Saccharomyces cerevisiae S288C: one gene and its partners. Changing the gene in region 1 together with any one later gene gives a genetic interaction. Each region holds a gene or a part of one and is shown in the gene's direction. Other genes may lie near its edges. The genes, in order: SCC2, IRC15, CTF19 and IML3.

Region 1 (7,351 bases):
ATTTATGTTTCTCTATATACCCAAATTCATTACATCAGAAAATCAGAAGCATAGAAGCTTTGCCAGACCTACAGGTAAATACCTTTATTGCCTTAATTTTCCAAAATTTCGTTAAGTCTTGGTATGGTATCAAAATACCCACTGATGATTCCAAGTTTTTAACCGAACTATATAACTTAGTTCAAGATTTAATAACATATTTGAAGAGTTCCAAAATCAATTACCATGCCCTTTTACTCGATTATATTCCCTGCTTGCTTTCGTCTCACTTGAAAGCATTAAATGACTCATCTCAAAATAACGATTTAGTTTATGAACAGTACTGTAAGCTAACTTTGTATGATTCGAAACGATATCCAATGCTATTCACTGAAATCATACAAAGTAAAATGAGCACCAAATCTCTACTACAGAGAAGCTTTTTGGATAGCTTTTTAAATGAACTTGTGTTCGGGCATATTTTTAATTCAATAGCGGAACCATATTATCTTCTGGAGGGCTTGAATAAAATTTGCATAAGAATAAAGCTAAATTCTGCAGGAAATACCAGAAACGAGGTGACTCATGGAAAGCCTAAATGCGATCCCTGGTTGTTTGTTTCCAATGTAAAGCACAAAATATTGCAAATGACCAGGCTTTTAGCTTATTCAACTTCAACAGAAGCAGCAAATATGAACACTGCCGAAATTCAAGAAACAGCATTTCTACAAAGATATATTTTTACTTTTTTCACCGATGATTTTTTCAAATTATCTATGAGGAAGCCATTCCTATTCTCAATATGCAGAACGCTTCAGCATTGGATCTCTAAATTAAATGCGTTAAACAGGGTCATGTATAGAACATTTGACAATATTGTTCAAACTAAAATTACCAGCCCTGTGACAATTGGCAACTTATTCTCATTATTACGACATTCTTTGTTTCCTAATGACAATATGATGGGGCCACCAAGAGTATTACCAGTGGGTGATGCTTTTCTAGAGTTCAGAGAAGAGTGTATTTCCAATTTATGGGATGTTTGTATGACTTATAAACTTGATCATATCCTCGCTATCAAAAGGTCTGACATAGCGGATCTTATTATCTGCATATCGAAGAATAGGGATTGCAATAAACTGCTAATTTATAGAATTATTGACTGTGTTATTGCGCAGTTGCCGTAGACTTCGTGATGTATAGAGTATTGTTGACAAATATTTGATGTTACCGAAATAGCACTCTTTGTAGCATTATTACCAATTTTTATACTATGAAGTAAGGTCTTAGGAAGCAAGAACATTGTTAACAAATAGCTTTTATGACCTAATCATTAGCACTATTCATTGCCAAATATGCAAATATCTATTCCTTTTGCCCGAACAGGTAAAAGTGGTATTGCTTTTATGTTAAACGCGAAACTGCCGCCACTTCGCTTAAAAAAAACACTGGCTGAAAAAGAACGATGCAGTTTAGTAACTAAAGTTTTTTCTAGCTCAGGCTTAGAGTTCGATAACAACAAGTCACATTCGAGTGCTCCACTTATAGCAATTTTTCTTTTGTGTATTGGTTTGCTCCTGTGTGCTCAGGCTTTTCGTTTGTTGTGAGAGTATTGTTCTTATAACTATTCATTTTTTGAAAGAATTGGCGGCTAGCAATGTCGTACCCAGGGAAAGACAAGAATATTCCTGGAAGAATAATAGAGGCCCTAGAAGACCTGCCTTTGAGTTATCTGGTTCCTAAGGATGGGTTAGCCGCGCTAGTAAATGCCCCAATGCGGGTTTCTTTACCTTTTGACAAGACTATCTTTACCAGCGCTGATGATGGCAGAGATGTTAATATAAATGTTCTAGGTACAGCTAACAGCACTACTTCTTCCATAAAGAATGAGGCCGAAAAAGAAAGGCTTGTTTTCAAAAGACCCAGTAATTTTACGTCATCAGCCAATTCTGTTGATTATGTCCCAACTAACTTTTTGGAAGGATTATCACCGCTAGCGCAGAGTGTTCTATCAACCCATAAAGGGTTGAATGATTCCATTAACATCGAGAAAAAAAGTGAAATAGTAAGCAGACCGGAGGCAAAGCATAAGCTCGAAAGTGTGACTTCGAATGCTGGTAACTTGAGTTTCAACGACAATTCTTCCAACAAGAAAACCAAAACTTCAACAGGTGTAACCATGACACAAGCGAATTTAGCGGAACAATATTTGAATGATCTTAAAAATATTTTAGATATTGTTGGATTTGACCAAAACTCTGCTGAAATTGGAAATATCGAGTACTGGCTCCAGTTGCCAAATAAAAAATTCGTTTTAACTACAAACTGCTTAACCAAATTACAAATGACAATTAAAAATATTACCGATAACCCACAGCTATCGAACTCAATCGAAATAACATGGCTTTTGAGATTGCTTGATGTGATGGTTTGTAATATAAAGTTCAGTAAAAGCTCTTTAAAGATGGGTTTAGATGATTCTATGTTACGATATATTGCTTTGCTTTCTACAATTGTACTATTCAATATTTTTTTACTGGGTAAGAATGACAGCAACTTACATCGGGAATCATACATCATGGAACCGGTGAATTTTTTAAGCGACTTGATAGAATCTCTAAAAATATTAACAATTGAATATGGTTCTTTGAAGATAGAATTTGACACTTTCCAGGAGGCCCTAGAATTGCTACCGAAATACATACGTAACGGCCCTTTTCTGGATGATAATGTCACGGCAAAGCTTGTGTACATCTTTAGCGACTTGCTGATGAATAATGACATTGAAGCAACTACGAATATCCAATTTCAAAGTTTTTGGGATAATGTGAAGAGAATCAGCTCTGATATTTTAGTTTCATTATTCGGTAGTTTTGATCAACAGAGAGGATTTATTATAGAAGAACTACTATCTCATATCGAAAAGCTTCCCACTAAGAGAATACAAAAAAAACTAAGAAAAGTTGGTAACCAAAACATTTATATCACTGATTTTACCTTTACTTTAATGTCAATGTTAGAGAATATTAATTGCTACTCCTTCTGTAATCAGATGAAGGATATTGCACCAGAGAATATTGATCTATTAAAGAACGAATACAAAAAGCAAGAAGAATTTCTTTTTAACATTGTTGAGCATATAAATGACACAATACTGGAAAGGTTTTTCAAGAACCCGTCCGCTTTAAGGTATGTAATTGACAACTTTGTCCAAGATCTATTATTGCTAATTTCCTCCCCTCAGTGGCCTGTAACAGAAAAAATACTAAGCTCTTTGTTAAAGAGACTTCTAAGTGTATACAGCCCATCCATGCAAGTTTCTGCAAACATTGAAACAATATGTTTACAACTTATAGGGAATATTGGTTCTACAATTTTTGATATTAAATGCTCAACTAGAGACCATGAAGATAACAACTTGATTAAAATGATTAATTACCCCGAAACTTTGCCGCATTTTTTTAAATCATTTGAAGAATGCATTGCATATAATGAAACGATCAAATGCCGTCGTTCTGCAACAAGATTCCTTTGGAATTTAAGGCTCGGTACGATCTTGATATTAGAAGAGTATACAAAGGATGCCAAAGAACAAATTATAACCGTTGACAATGAATTGAAAAAAATATTGGAGCAGATAAAAGATGGTGGACTTGGACCCGAATTAGAGAACAGAGAAGCAGATTTTAGTACGATTAAATTGGATTATTTTTCTATTTTGCACGCCTTTGAACTACTGAATCTATACGATCCATACTTGAAGTTGATATTATCACTTCTAGCCAAGGATAAAATCAAACTGAGATCGACTGCTATTAAATGTCTCTCGATGTTGGCTTCAAAAGACAAAGTGATACTTTCAAACCCAATGGTTAAAGAAACTATTCACCGGCGTTTAAACGACTCATCTGCATCTGTCAAGGATGCCATTCTAGATTTGGTCAGTATTAATTCTTCATACTTCGAATTTTATCAACAAATTAACAACAACTATAACGATGATAGCATAATGGTAAGAAAACATGTGTTAAGAATTAATGAAAAAATGTACGACGAGACGAACGACATCGTCACGAAGGTATACGTAATAGCAAGAATCCTAATGAAAATAGAAGACGAGGAGGACAATATAATTGATATGGCTAGGCTGATTTTATTAAATAGATGGATATTAAAGGTACATGAAGTATTGGACCAGCCCGAAAAGTTGAAAGAAATTTCTTCTTCAGTCCTACTAGTAATGTCCCGTGTGGCTATAATGAATGAGAAATGCTCCCAACTTTTCGACTTGTTTCTCAACTTTTATCTCCTAAACAAAGAAGCGCATTCAAAAGAAGCATACGATAAAATCACTCACGTTCTAACCATTCTTACCGACTTTTTGGTACAAAAAATTGTCGAGCTCAACTCAGATGACACAAATGAAAAGAATTCGATTGTTGATAAACAAAATTTTTTAAACCTTTTGGCGAAGTTTGCTGATTCTACTGTGTCATTTTTGACTAAAGACCACATTACAGCATTGTATCCTTATATGGTATCGGACGAAAAATCTGACTTCCACTATTATATCTTGCAAGTCTTTAGATGCACTTTTGAAAAATTGGCCAACTTTAAACAGAAATTTTTGTATGACTTAGAGACGACCCTTTTGAGTAGGCTACCAAAGATGAATGTAAGAGAGATAGATGAAGCTATGCCTCTTATCTGGTCTGTTGCCACTCATCGTCATGATACTGCTAGAGTAGCTAAAGCATGTTCATCCTGTCTTTCCCATTTACATCCATATATAAATAAGGCAAATAACGAGGAAGCTGCCATTGTAGTTGACGGAAAATTGCAAAGGCTGATATATTTATCCACCGGTTTTGCCAGGTTCTGCTTTCCTAAACCCTCCAATGATAAAATTGCATTTTTACAAGAAGGTGAAACCCTGTATGAACATATTACCAAATGCCTACTTGTACTATCTAAAGACAAAATTACACACGTAATAAGAAGGGTTGCTGTGAAAAATCTCACTAAATTATGTGGAAATCATCCAAAACTATTCAATTCAAGACACGTTCTACATTTACTGGACAAAGAATTTCAGAGCGATCAGCTAGATATTAAACTAGTAATTCTAGAAAGTTTATATGATCTTTTTCTACTGGAAGAAAGGAAGTCAGTGAGAAACACTGGCGTTAATAGCACTTTGTCTTCGAACTCCATTTTGAAAAAGAAATTACTGAAAACGAATAGGGTAGAGTTTGCAAATGATGGAGTATGTTCAGCGTTGGCTACTAGATTTTTAGACAATATTCTCCAACTATGTCTCCTACGTGATCTAAAGAATTCTCTCGTAGCTATTCGATTATTAAAGTTGATTTTGAAATTTGGTTACACAAATCCCTCTCATTCAATTCCAACTGTAATTGCTTTATTTGCCTCTACTAGCCAGTATATTCGTCATGTCGCCTATGAGTTGTTAGAAGATCTTTTTGAGAAATACGAAACGCTAGTATTCAGTAGTTTATCTCGAGGGGTTACAAAAGCTATACATTATTCTATTCATACAGATGAGAAGTATTATTACAAGCACGATCATTTTTTGTCTTTACTTGAAAAATTATGTGGAACTGGAAAAAAAAATGGCCCAAAGTTCTTTAAAGTTCTGAAGAGAATCATGCAATCCTATTTAGATGATATCACCGATTTAACATCAACAAATAGTAGTGTTCAAAAGTCCATTTTCGTTCTCTGCACTAACATTTCGAATATCACATTTGTTTCTCAGTACGATTTGGTGTCCCTACTCAAAACCATTGATTTAACTACAGATAGATTAAAAGAGGTTATCATGGATGAAATAGGTGACAATGTTTCATCGCTATCCGTATCAGAAGAAAAGCTCAGTGGAATAATTTTAATACAGTTAAGCTTACAGGATTTGGGTACTTATCTACTGCACTTATACGGGTTAAGGGATGATGTGCTTTTATTAGATATTGTAGAAGAATCAGAATTGAAGAACAAACAACTCCCTGCAAAGAAGCCGGATATCAGTAAGTTTTCCGCACAGTTGGAGAATATTGAACAGTATTCATCAAATGGCAAGCTTCTTACATATTTTAGAAAACACGTGAAGGATACGTAAATATATTGCACTTAAAATATACATAGTATTAATAATCATTTTGCATTTTCCATGCTGATTTTTCACGCAGGTTTTGAGAAGCAACTATGAAATATTGAATTTCATTTACACCATCGCATTATATTAGTTCAAACTAAACCTTTTTTTTCTTGCGGACAGGCAAAATATTAATACCTGAGTTAGTTTTCATTCCATTGTGTGTTTTTACAAAGGTCTTTTCGTTACAAGAGGGCACTATTGCTAAGTTTGGGTTGATATTGTTAATAATAGCACCCACATTCTCAGAAGACCTTTGTGAAATCTGAGATGCAGTGCAAGATGAAATTGAACCTAAAGGTGCCTTCTCTGAAAGAGTTGGACTTATAGATGCAGCATTGTTCCTTAAGGCATTCATTTCTTTTGATTTGACAGTCTCTGTCACAGATATTTCCTCCGCTTTAACATTCAGTTTCATAGACTTTTGTGTATCTTGCCTTATATCCCGAATGACTTCTGGTTCCACCTCCATCGTTAACGGGATGACTTCCCTTCTTCTTTTCACAGCAATTTGCGTTGATATTCGAGGAGCTTTCTTGAATTTTTTTGGATTTGTGGGAACTTTGTTTTTCCATGAATTTCTCTCTTTAGTGGAGGTTTTAATCAAATACGGTTTTCGGAGCGGCTCAGCTACGATAGCAAACCGTGTCATTCCCTTTTGTGATTGATGATCGCTCAGCAGTACTATAATGGAACCACCGCATTGCTGCTCTCTCTTCTTTAGGCGTCTCTCCCTTATTTCCTCAACGGTTATTTTTTCTTCTTCTTCGTCAGAGGAGCTTGCGTAATCTGGAATAAAAGTTCGATCGATTCGAGTATATATCTTGGGCCAATCTTTGCCACTAACCAATTTCAACAATGAATCACTTGAGGCTGGCCTTCTAGCTAAATTGCGGCTTTTTTTTTTCATAGATTCAAATTTATGTAACATTGAATCAATCAGCTCTTTAGTTTGGTAACGTTTAGTCTCCATTTCATTCTCGTCAGTGGGGTCATTTATTTTAGTAACCTTCTGTAATGTTACTTCCCAATTCAACATACCCAGTCTGTCTGAAATTAATGAAAGCCTGTCTGCTTCATTTTCACCATTTACGATGTCCGATTGAATCATTCTATTTTCTTGCTTCAACATTTTCTTGTGGTAAGGCTGATACGTGCTATCAGGAAGCAAATCATCAGTTGGTTTTCTAATATTCT
Region 2 (4,709 bases), on another chromosome or scaffold:
TTGACGTAATTTTGTCTCTAATAGCAATTTCTGTTGCCTTTGTTGATCCTCTAAAAGTTTTTGTTGTCGTTTCTGAAAATCCTCCCTTTCTTTACGTTCTAGTTCCAATTCCTTTTTGGTCTTTTTTTTCACTCTTTGCTTTCTTGGCTTCTTAACTTGCTGTTGGCCAATATTGTTATTATTTACGTTGATATTAATATTGCTATTCAAGCTTTTTGGAGTGTTTGCTGAAACCGGAACGATCCCTGCTTCTGTTCCTGGTGCTGCTGTAGCAGGAACGGACGCGCCAGGAGCCGCGGGGGTTGGTGCTGACGATGCACTATTAATGTTATTGTTGGCATTGGCCAATGCAGCGGCCTGCTGCTGTTGTTGAACTTTCTTCAATAGTTCTTGTAAGAACTGTTGCAAGAATATTCTTTTCGCTTGAGTTTCCTTTATACCTTCTTGGGAAATCATGTGTCTTTCGTAAGGTAATAAAATTCTAAAATAGATTGATTCTAATTGTTGGTAATCGGAAATTTGCAGCCTTTGGGCCACCATAGACCACTGTTGGGTCCTTGTTACTTGATCTGCACCACCGAATTTTTGAACCAACATATAAAGATAAAAAAGATTTATTTTTCTGTTGCCGATTTCTGGTATTGATTGTAACGGCATATTTCTTTTTTTACAGTTTTCAATCAAAGATTTCATAAAAAGTTCATATTGTTTGTTATTCAATTCAGTAGATATTTTCTCTTGTAATGCCGGGTTCAGACTTTGTAAAATAGATCTTTGTTGTTGCTGCCGTTGACTCTGCAAAAATTTGGGATTCTGTTGTTGCTGTTGTTGCTGTTGTGGTTGTTGATTTTGCTGTTGTTGATTTTGTTGCTGCTGCTGCTGCTGCTGTAGAGCCTGAAAACGTTGCTGCTGCTTTTGCTGCAAAGCGGCAAACATTGCAGCTCTTTCAGAGAACACTGTATTTGCGTTTGAAGTTGAATTATTGGTATTAGCGGGAGTTGCAGCAGGCACGGCAGTGACATTATTGTTATTGCTCGTTTTATTATTGCTGTTATTACGCATATTATGGTTATTACTGTTGTTGTTGTTGTCACTTGTGTTCGGAACAAATTCATTGCTTGCAGAGGATGATCTGTCCATTGAATTTGAAGCAGCGTAATTAGAAATAAGCTGGTTAGACGTCAAATTACCATTATTGGAAGCACTGTTATTGAATGGCAAAAATTGTTGATTTGCATTCGGAGTAGAGTTAGAGTTTGTGTTCGGAGTAGAAGATGAGGAATTTTGACTGATGGATTGAACATTGGTGATAAAATGGGGTGTTATTACATTATCGTTCGCAATTCCGGTGCTATTATTATTATTGTTACCGCCATATAGCTGTTGTTGAGCTTGAAGAGGTAAATTGGAAGAATCAATGATTGAATTCTTGGCTAAAATAGCCTGAGGAGACAGGCTGTTTAAATTTGTGTTGGAATTGTTTGAGTCATATGGAGAATTGAATTGGGGAGACTGGTTCTGAATGAAATTAGCAGCTTTTCCACCGGTAACATTAGCAGGAGCGGCATTATTAACGACTGCTGTTGGAGAAGTAAAGTTCGTGCTGGAGGCTACCGTGTTACTGTTATTGTTATCATTGTTATTACTATTACTGTTGTTATTGTTGGAATCCAAATTCTGGTCAAAAGGTTTTGGGTCGAAAAAATTCTGAAAATCGTCTACACCACTGGCTCCGGTATTCGTATTGTTGTTATTAGTATTGTTATTAGTATTACTACTATGGCCTGTGCTATTGTTGTTATTGGTATTATTAGCAGGATTATTATTATTATTAGTATTATTATTATTAGTATTATTGTTATTGGTAGTAGTAGTAGTAGTAGTAGTATTATTATTATTATTATTATTATTCAAATTAAAGAAATCCATCTTTATTTATTACTATTTTTATTATTACTATTTTTATTATTATTATTATTATTATTATTATAAGACACGAAAAGAAAGAAAATAGAGATAGAAAAAGAAAATTTTAAGAATAATGAGTGTAATAGGAAAATAGCCGCCAGTCAGTGATTATTACCTGGTGAACAATAATCTGCAATCCGTGAGAGGAAACAACGCGAAATGCCAAAGCAGAGATGGTGTAATAAGGATAGAGCCACACAACAATACTTTCTAGAAAAATAAATAATAAAAAAATAAGGTAAACAAAGTGTAATCAGTTGCCTTGCCGTATAGTGTTTTGCGGTATAAATATTGTTATTCAATACGAATGATGAATACCGGAAGGTGGTTATGACTAAAACGCAATGTGAATATGATTACAACTGGCAACAACCACAACAGAAACAACAATAATGCATAGTGGTAATAATACGTAAAGTCAATCAGCGTTCAGTTTTAAAAAAAATCTTTTCTCGGTGCTTTGGGGAAGGAGGGGTGGCGTCGTTTCGTAATCGGAGATACCCAAAGTTCATATCACGATAAACGTCAGTTCCGGGTTAGAATAAATTTATGCGGTAGTTTCTGTGCGAACTTGAGTGCGGTGGCATTTTCCTCCGGCGAGGCCTGGGTGGAACACTCAGGCAGGGGGTACACCCAGACCTGCAGGCATGCATCTGCTGTTTCGGCGGCTATTTAACATGCGCACGATTTTACGAGAGGAGAAGAGAAGTATGATATAATTAACGGTGAGCATTTTTGGTAATGGGAGGTGAAGACGAAATATTAAGCACGATGGAGGATTTTGCGGCAGTTTACGATGTCCTGGTAATTGGTTGCGGGCCTGGTGGCTTTACTGCAGCGATGCAGGCTTCGCAAGCAGGCCTGCTCACAGCATGTGTTGACCAGCGTGCCTCGCTGGGGGGCGCCTACCTTGTAGACGGGGCAGTCCCGTCCAAGACCTTGTTATATGAGTCTTATCTTTATCGGCTGCTACAACAGCAAGAACTTATCGAGCAACGTGGCACGCGGCTGTTTCCTGCAAAATTCGATATGCAGGCGGCCCAGAGTGCACTCAAACATAATATAGAAGAGTTGGGCAATGTGTATAAACGTGAGCTATCTAAAAATAATGTTACTGTGTATAAAGGCACGGCTGCTTTCAAAGATCCTCACCACGTTGAGATTGCGCAGCGCGGCATGAAACCGTTCATCGTAGAGGCGAAATATATTGTTGTGGCGACCGGATCTGCGGTTATTCAGTGTCCTGGTGTTGCAATAGATAATGACAAGATAATTTCATCTGATAAGGCATTGTCACTGGATTATATACCTTCACGTTTTACTATCATGGGAGGAGGTACAATTGGACTAGAAATCGCATGCATATTCAATAATTTGGGCTCTCGGGTTACTATCGTTGAATCTCAAAGCGAGATCTGTCAAAATATGGACAATGAGTTGGCTTCTGCCACGAAGACCCTCTTGCAGTGTCAGGGTATAGCTTTTCTTTTAGACACTAGAGTGCAGCTCGCGGAAGCCGATGCTGCCGGTCAGCTGAACATCACCTTGCTTAACAAGGTGTCAAAGAAAACATATGTACATCATTGCGACGTCTTGATGGTTTCTATTGGTAGACGTCCCCTGCTAAAAGGTTTAGATATTTCCAGCATTGGTCTAGACGAACGGGATTTTGTAGAAAATGTTGACGTACAAACCCAAAGTCTGCTAAAGTACCCTCATATTAAACCCATAGGAGACGTTACATTGGGCCCCATGCTGGCGCTGAAAGCGGAAGAACAAGCTATAAGGGCCATTCAATCAATAGGCTGTACAGGCTCCGACGGAACCTCGAATTGTGGCTTCCCACCAAATGTGCTGTACTGTCAGCCTCAGATTGGCTGGGTCGGATACACTGAGGAGGGGTTGGCAAAGGCTCGCATCCCATATCAAAAAGGCAGGGTTTTGTTCTCACAGAACGTTAGATATAACACGTTATTACCACGGGAAGAGAATACTACAGTTTCTCCTTTCATTAAAGTTCTGATAGATTCTCGTGACATGAAAATACTAGGCGTTCATATGATAAACGACGATGCAAATGAATTGCTGTCGCAAGCATCGATGGCGGTGTCGCTTGGCCTTACCGCCCATGATGTCTGTAAAGTACCGTTCCCTCATCCGAGCTTATCGGAATCGTTTAAGCAAGCCGTCCAGTTGGCAATGGCAAATGGAACATCACCTGGCGTACATGTCCGGGAATAGGCAAACGTTGCAGATCTCCTTTAACCCGGTTTTCACACCATATTCCTTGATAAGTCCGTAGCATATCTCGTCCAAATCTATCTGGTTAAATCTTTCTCCCCCCTTCCATAGCGCTATTGAAATTTTACTCATGGGCAGAAAACAGTTACGAGGTTTGCCTCTCTCACCGGGCATTGTAATGATGAAATTTATCTGCAATTTTATCGTCGTGAGTCTTCCTTCTCTAATAACTCTTTCCACAATTAATGAGTCACTATTATTCATTAGATAACACCTGGTTTTCCTTTTCAATAAATTAATCAAATTTTGGAAAATTCCAGTTTTTTTGGACTTGATCTTATCAAACTCATAAAGGCTTAATAGACACTTCTGGAAGTTACGTGTTGCCAGTAATTGCTTGGCCTTCAGTCTAACGTTTGTGGAAATTCGCAAGATTTCCCACTTCAGCAGTGTGGAATCTTCAAATTTATAGAACATTTTGAACTGAATTTCAAAAGGAT
Region 3 (4,003 bases), on another chromosome or scaffold:
CCTTCTCATATTATCAAGTTTATCATGAATGCTCTTTTGTTTTTGTAAAGTTTTCTTCTCTTCTTCGTAAGCCTCCTGAGGGTTCTTTCTGATGTCGGTTTCTAAATCGGGCAACCAGAATGGCAAAATGTTGACATATTTATCGTCTTCACCAAACAGTGAAGCCACACCTTGCAAGTACAAAGAAAATTTTGGAACTTCGTTAACTAAATGTGAATTAGTTAAATCTTTAATCCACTCATAATTAGGCATTTGAGAATTATCTTGGTTTATAACCTTAATCTCCATTACAGAATAGGGGAACTTCGAATATTCTCCTGCTCTTAAAAACCTCAATGGGTTGGGAATATTGGAATCAATATCGTCACGGTGCCAATTCTCAGGGTTCCTAATGGGCCTATTTTTGTCCAAAGAATCCTCTCTAATGTACATGATATTGGAATCGATAGTGACTCTAATACTTTGATCTCCAGGAATTTGGAAAGCAGTTCTATTATAGGTAGCTCTCAAAACTGGCTGCAACTTCTCCTCAACAATAAAGTTTTGGATGTTATCAAAGTCTCTAGAAAGTTTTTCCAGTTCCTCCTTTTGAGTACCCCTTTCTCTTAGTTGATTAATTAAATAGTTTTTGTAACTGGGATCATTTTTAAAAATAAAATTGTTGATGAATTTGGCTTTCATTTGCAATCTGATTTCTTCAAAACTTGAATTACCAGTTTCGGTATTTTCTGTAAAAGTTCTCTTTTCCAAAAATATGTCAGGTTTGTCTAGCAGTTTACCGATCCATCTTAATCTCAGCGTAGGTGCACCGCTGATTTTCAACAATCTGTTATTGTACAAATCAAAAAAATCGTTGTCGAAATATAATGTAGTGATTGTTGGATCATATGACTGTGGGAAAATAACGCTCTTTGATTTTCCAATTTCAACATCTTGGTTGCTATTACCATCACTAGAAAGGCTGTTACTCTTTGAACCAATATTCAAGCGCGCTTCAGGTTGTACGCGGACATCTGATTCTAGATTATCGACGAAATCGTCATTTTCATTTGGAACCGACGCATAAACCAAAGCAGGTAGATGCCTTAAGATTCTAGCCTTAACCTCCATTATATTATCATCATGAACCCAAAACTTGTAGCTTTTAAAACTTGCGTCTTCAAGGTTAGAAAAATGTGATAATTTAGAAGTACTTGCTAATGATTTAGACACCGTATTTGGATGATCATAATTTGATCTCAAGAACTCGTACAGATATGAGATCCTATACAACAAGGGAGAATACTCTTCTGAATTGTTGAAAGGAAGTTCTTTCAATCTGACTTGTAAAAGAGACTTTACAGAAGGATAGTTTGGATGTAATTTATCGTGTTTCTTCACAATCTTGATAAACCCAGTAAAATTTAACCTGTCAAAGTTATCCAATCTTTGAGCCTCATCTAGACATTCTTCTAAGGTGTTTTTGAACTGCTCAGAATTTATTTTTTGGATTTTTTCAGCTGATTTAGTGTTTTCCTCTAAATCATCTAATTTTCGCAAGACAGCATTATATTTGGAAATTTGAAATGTGTAAACCTTTTCTAGTTCTTTATCCAAGGCCTCCACAAAATCAGATTCATTCCTTTCGGACCAACTATCCACGGAACTACGGCCATCATGTATGACGCTTTCCTTTAGTAATTTCTTCAACCTTTCATAGTCGATATATGAATCCTTCCAGGGAGGATATACGTCGTTAGCCAGTTTAATACCAAATAGCATTTTCAAACTCTGAAAACCAAGGACAAATTCTGCTGTTCGCTCTAATAGCCAAATGACCTATAGTGATAATAAAAAAAGCGCTAAGGAGGTACTACTTGGATTAGATCACTCTTATGCGTATTATTACCCGCCAATGGGCCCTCTCGATATTGAGAAGATGAAGTAAGTTCGAGAAAAGATGTCTGATGTAAGCCGCTCTCTGGCCTCTATTTAAAAGTTCTTCCTGGATGAAACCCACTCGAAAGTTGGGTGTGTGCGTGTGTGTATGTTTCCACGTTTCTGCCTTGTGCTTTCAAAATCGCATGCACGTGCTTGCGACTGCACTGTGTTGTATTAAGCCACGTGGGCCCTCGCACATTGAAAAAAAGAAAAGCTGTACAGGGAAAAATGTGCCAAGAAGTCCAAATACCAATAGCTGTGCAAGTTACTCATTAACATCCAAACCGTGAAGGTCACGGCATATATACTCTGGCGTTCTACTATGTGGCCGGTAATGTAACCGGTAATGGTGACTATCTAATAGTTGGAGTCCGCCGAAAAATCAGAAACGCGTAATTTAGACTTATATAAACAGCTATATACCTTGGAGCTAGTGTGATCTTGTTGATACTAGGTCGGCAAAGAACGCAAATATGGATTTTACGTCTGATACGACGAATTCGCACGACACATCGAATTCGCATTTAAGTCTGGAAGACGCTGTGGGTACACATCATGCTGGTGAAGCAGATGTAAACATTGATGGGGACGAGAAGCAACAACTATCGCTATTAGATGATGATCAGGTACGCGCACTGAAGCTACAGGAGGAGAAGGATGCGCTGTTGACAAGGAGAAATACTCTTTTACAAGAGATCCAGACGTACCAAAATATCTTGATGAAGGAAAATAACAGTAAGACTAAAAATGGTGATATCCTCCAAAACGATATCACACAGGATTTTCTTAATCTAATCTCGATCTCATCCTCTAATCCTAATTCGGCGATAAGTGACCGCAAGCGGGTCGAGAGGATCAATGGGCTAACTAACTTGCAGAAGGAACTAGTAACAAAATACGACACGTTACCTTTGTTAAATATGAATCTACGGCTAAGTTATTTGAGAGACCACACATACCCGCATCTTCAAGTTTCTGTGCAATCAAGAGACAGAGTACATAACGATGGGATTGAAGTTTTGGTGGTCAATTATAAATTCTGCAGAAACACGATGAATCCTTTTGAAATTCAGTTCAAAATGTTCTATAAATTTGAAGATTCCACACTGCTGAAGTGGGAAATCTTGCGAATTTCCACAAACGTTAGACTGAAGGCCAAGCAATTACTGGCAACACGTAACTTCCAGAAGTGTCTATTAAGCCTTTATGAGTTTGATAAGATCAAGTCCAAAAAAACTGGAATTTTCCAAAATTTGATTAATTTATTGAAAAGGAAAACCAGGTGTTATCTAATGAATAATAGTGACTCATTAATTGTGGAAAGAGTTATTAGAGAAGGAAGACTCACGACGATAAAATTGCAGATAAATTTCATCATTACAATGCCCGGTGAGAGAGGCAAACCTCGTAACTGTTTTCTGCCCATGAGTAAAATTTCAATAGCGCTATGGAAGGGGGGAGAAAGATTTAACCAGATAGATTTGGACGAGATATGCTACGGACTTATCAAGGAATATGGTGTGAAAACCGGGTTAAAGGAGATCTGCAACGTTTGCCTATTCCCGGACATGTACGCCAGGTGATGTTCCATTTGCCATTGCCAACTGGACGGCTTGCTTAAACGATTCCGATAAGCTCGGATGAGGGAACGGTACTTTACAGACATCATGGGCGGTAAGGCCAAGCGACACCGCCATCGATGCTTGCGACAGCAATTCATTTGCATCGTCGTTTATCATATGAACGCCTAGTATTTTCATGTCACGAGAATCTATCAGAACTTTAATGAAAGGAGAAACTGTAGTATTCTCTTCCCGTGGTAATAACGTGTTATATCTAACGTTCTGTGAGAACAAAACCCTGCCTTTTTGATATGGGATGCGAGCCTTTGCCAACCCCTCCTCAGTGTATCCGACCCAGCCAATCTGAGGCTGACAGTACAGCACATTTGGTGGGAAGCCACAATTCGAGGTTCCGTCGGAGCCTGTACAGCCTATTGATTGAATGGCCCTTATAGCTTGTTCTTCCGCTTTCAGCGCCAGCATGGGGCCCAATGTAACGTCTCCTATGGGTTTAATATGAG
Region 4 (3,784 bases), on another chromosome or scaffold:
TTTGAACTATCAACTTCGGATGTTATAGTACCCTCATGTAACTTCTCAGATCTGGATGGGGCCGGAGGGGTTGGCGCTCTTTTTCTAATAAAGCTGTTGGGGGCATCACCCAAACGACCGTTTTCTGTAGAATTCTCACTCTTGGGGTTGTATTCATCACCATCATGGTGCTTAGCTATACGCCCACGCCCACGCCCATGATTTGCCTCAGGTCCGTCGATAGTATAAGAACTATCACTAGAATTGGACGATTGTGAACGCCTAAATGGTTTTGGTGGTGGCTGGAAGTTTTGAATAGGCTGTGTCTCCATATGAGCTCTTCTGAATTGAGATTGCGATTGCGGTTTCGATTGAGGTACCAACGATGGTTCAACGTTTCTATCTTCCTCAGAGGGGTGCCCTGGCAAAACTTCACCCTTCATTTCTACAGGTGATGCTTTACTATTCTGATTTTGTTTAGTTTCAGTATGTCTAAATGGCTTCGGTGGAGGTAAAAAATTAGAAATGGGATCCTCCTGTACATTAGCGGCATTCGTTGACAGCACCGACTCTGTCCTCTCAAAATTGCCTCGTGATGGGGGAGGAGGAGGCTCAACATTGTTCCGAGGAGGTAGAATTGGCACTGCCCGTTCTGGTGCGTTCTTCGTGGTGTGCTCAGAAGGTACAGAATCAAGTCCATGTCTGAAAGGTTTTGGAGGTGGCATGATGTTGACATCTACATCATAATGTCCTAAAATGGACGACTTGGAGGTACTTTCATCGTTTTCTTTGTTTCCAGAGTTCCTTTCATTGTCTGCAGTAGTAGTTCTTGAATGCTTTGCTGGCAATGAAGCCGCCGAAGAGGTTGTGTTAGGCTGTATTTTCCCACTTGGCGCAGGTTCCTGGTGTACAACTGCTCCTCTATCCCTATGAGTGGGAGGTGGTGGAAGGCTACTAACGTCTACAGTGGGAATATCGATTTTGGGCTTCGGAGCAGGTGCGTCTGGGTCAAATGGAGTAACTTCAAAATGTGGGGTTGAGCCAGTAGAATCAAGAGAAGGCTCAATCGGATAGATGTTTCCCTGTTGCATTGGTTGCGGTGGCTGTGGCTGCATTCTTACAGGCACAGGCGGTTGTCCACCGACTGGAGGCTGACCTTGCATGGGTGAAGCTCCATAGCTGGGGTTCGAATCTTGCATGTTTGTAGTACTTGACATGGCTTGGCCATAGACAGGCTGAACCGCAGCCATCCCAGAAACTCCTTCCACGTTCATTTGTGGCAACAAAGCGTTGTTTTGGTTCAGAGGCTGCTGTTGCTGTTGCTGTTGCTGTTGCTGTTGCCCAAAGCCATTTGACAGAGGCTCTCCGGGCGCTGGCAAGATCACTTGACCGCGCGGGGGCGGTAATGGTTGCCCTTGTTGTTGCTGTTGTGGTTGTGCAGGTGATGGTAAAACTTGCTGGCCAAACTGTGTCGTGGGCTGCTGCTGTTGGCCCGATGGAAATTGGGATTGTCCGAGATTGGTTGAGCCATGTGATACGTATTGCGGCTGCTGATGACACTGAAGACCGTTCTGGAAAGACGGTGATGGTGCCGGATTACTTGATTGGGTACCATATTGCAGATTTTGCGAGACAAACCCTGTGCTTTGCTGAGAAGCAGAGTTCAGAGATACCTGACTTGGAATTGCATTTTGGGGTTGATTTTGTTGCGGCAGCGACTGGTAGCTGGTTGCATTAGAATTTGACCCATACGGTGGTACTTGCTCTCCATATATAGGCGGCTGCTGTGGCACTACACCTTGTTGCAGCTGCTGTTGCTGTGGCATTACACCTTGTTGCAGCTGCTGTTGTGGATACTGATTATACTGTGGTTGTGCGTATTGTGACTGTTCCGTCGATCCTGCGCCAGGTTGGCCTTGGTATGCACCCTGAAAAGCATAACTGGCCTGACCATTTGGCATTTGCTGTTGCTGTTGTCCTGTATAAGTTTTTTGTCCAGGTTTCAAAGGTGGGGGAGGAAAGGACTTTGGGTCTTTTAAACTTCTTATATCGGTCGGCTTTCTTTCGTACTCCATCTCATCTTCGCTATCATACTCCTCATCACTTGAATTTTTCTTACCACTCTTCCTTTCCCTACGCGCTTTGCTGTTGTTATAGTGCTTCTTACTTGCCTTATACCCTGTCTTGGCAACGTACTTTGTTCCTTGGTAACCATATTTACCGGCGCTCTTCAGCCCTGAAGTGATGGAATCTTTGTTGTTCTCCCAAAATCCCATGCTGGTTGATAACTTGATTTTTTTATGAAAGACCTCTCTCGAACATACGATTATGTAAACTCAAAATGACTTTATCCATATATGTATACACTTAATTTAGATGATGAAATATAAAAAAATAGGGTGGTCCCTGGTTTTCCTGAAGCGCGATTTAGGCAGATCCAGTGGTACTACGGGAAAAAAAAATGCCGACACCGATATGAAATAGACAACAACCATAGTGGGATGATCTGGTCGACTGCATGGTTGATTTGATTGTCTATAGGTATCAACGTACTTCCTTTGGATGGAATGCCTTATACTTGGAAGTTTTTAGGAATCAGCAAGCAACTTTCACTGGAAAATGGTATAGCAAAGTTGAACCAATTGCTAAACCTGGAAGTAGATTTAGACATTCAAACCATTCGAGTACCCAGTGATCCTGATGGTGGTACCGCCGCTGACGAGTATATCCGTTACGAAATGAGGTTGGACATCTCTAATTTAGATGAGGGCACTTACTCTAAGTTCATTTTCTTGGGGAACTCAAAAATGGAGGTGCCGATGTTTTTGTGCTATTGCGGGACAGATAACCGCAATGAAGTGGTATTGCAGTGGCTGAAGGCAGAGTACGGTGTCATTATGTGGCCGATAAAATTTGAACAGAAGACCATGATAAAGTTAGCTGACGCCAGCATTGTGCACGTAACGAAAGAGAACATCGAACAAATTACCTGGTTTAGCTCAAAGTTATATTTTGAACCAGAAACACAAGACAAAAACTTGCGGCAATTCAGTATAGAAATACCGAGAGAAAGCTGTGAGGGTTTGGCTCTTGGCTATGGTAATACTATGCACCCGTATAACGATGCAATTGTACCCTACATTTATAATGAAACGGGGATGGCGGTGGAAAGATTACCGTTGACTTCCGTCATATTGGCAGGGCACACGAAAATAATGAGAGAATCCATTGTCACTTCAACACGAAGTCTCAGGAACAGAGTTCTAGCAGTTGTACTCCAATCGATTCAGTTTACCAGCGAGTAACACTATAAAGAATATTCACCAAGATACAATAAAAAACCACAGCTCTACCTTTTTTGTACATATGAACCTGAAGACCTTCATGAATCATCGTCATTATCAGTAATATCCGGTTCGTCATATCTGCAATGACACCCCACAAAATCCCAGAGACATTACAATTTAGTGTAGAGATCCCGACACAACGGGCCAATGGCTGCTATGAACTAATGTTCACATAGTTTAATTTTGTTGAACTTTCAGTATATATTTGCATAAAATCATATAGACGAGCGCACTTAGCGGAAAGTGCGGCAGTCATACAAGCACGAGGAAAAAGAGGACACGACTCATTTTTCTTTACATGATAAGCCCAACAAAATGAAAACAAATAGAGTTCCTTGTTTTCATTTCATCTAATCAAGAAAAAAAAAGCAATTCTATGGCGATGTAGGAAAATAGACACAATTCGTCTAGCTTTATCTTATTTCATTCTATTTTTCTTATAACACTGCAGCAACTGC

Evidence for each region.
Region 2: mutations in SCC2 (region 1) and IRC15 together harm fitness more than expected from each alone (negative genetic interaction), as found in Saccharomyces cerevisiae (3 studies listed by BioGRID).
Region 3: mutations in SCC2 (region 1) and CTF19 together harm fitness more than expected from each alone (negative genetic interaction), as found in Saccharomyces cerevisiae (3 studies listed by BioGRID).
Region 4: mutations in SCC2 (region 1) and IML3 together harm fitness more than expected from each alone (negative genetic interaction), as found in Saccharomyces cerevisiae (4 studies listed by BioGRID, with this or other methods).

The regions. Positions count from the first base shown.
Region 1 is NC_001136.10:819,659-827,009, forward strand, and holds SCC2 (cohesin-loading factor complex subunit SCC2), read left to right. Parts: upstream 1-1,636; coding exon 1,637-6,118; downstream 6,119-7,351. Other genes in the region: NVJ3 (Nvj3p), read left to right, coding at 1-1,166; SAS4 (Sas4p), read right to left, coding at 6,252-7,351. UniProt on the Saccharomyces cerevisiae protein: Plays a structural role in chromatin and is involved in sister chromatid cohesion. Forms a complex with SCC4 required for the stable association of the cohesin complex with chromatin, which may act by hydrolyzing ATP from SMC1 and SMC3 heads.
Region 2 is NC_001148.4:518,234-522,942, reverse strand, and holds IRC15 (Irc15p), read left to right. Parts: upstream 1-2,709; coding exon 2,710-4,209; downstream 4,210-4,709. Other genes in the region: SWI1 (Swi1p), read right to left, coding at 1-1,929; CTF19 (Ctf19p), read right to left, coding at 4,183-4,709.
Region 3 is NC_001148.4:515,258-519,260, forward strand, and holds CTF19 (Ctf19p), read left to right. Parts: upstream 1-2,393; coding exon 2,394-3,503; downstream 3,504-4,003. Other genes in the region: VTC3 (vacuolar transporter chaperone), read right to left, coding at 1-1,761; IRC15 (Irc15p), read right to left, coding at 3,477-4,003. UniProt on the Saccharomyces cerevisiae protein: Component of the kinetochore, a multiprotein complex that assembles on centromeric DNA and attaches chromosomes to spindle microtubules, mediating chromosome segregation and sister chromatid segregation during meiosis and mitosis.
Region 4 is NC_001134.8:453,293-457,076, reverse strand, and holds IML3 (Iml3p), read left to right. Parts: upstream 1-2,546; coding exon 2,547-3,284; downstream 3,285-3,784. Other genes in the region: AIM3 (Aim3p), read right to left, coding at 1-2,255. UniProt on the Saccharomyces cerevisiae protein: Component of the kinetochore, a multiprotein complex that assembles on centromeric DNA and attaches chromosomes to spindle microtubules, mediating chromosome segregation and sister chromatid segregation during meiosis and mitosis.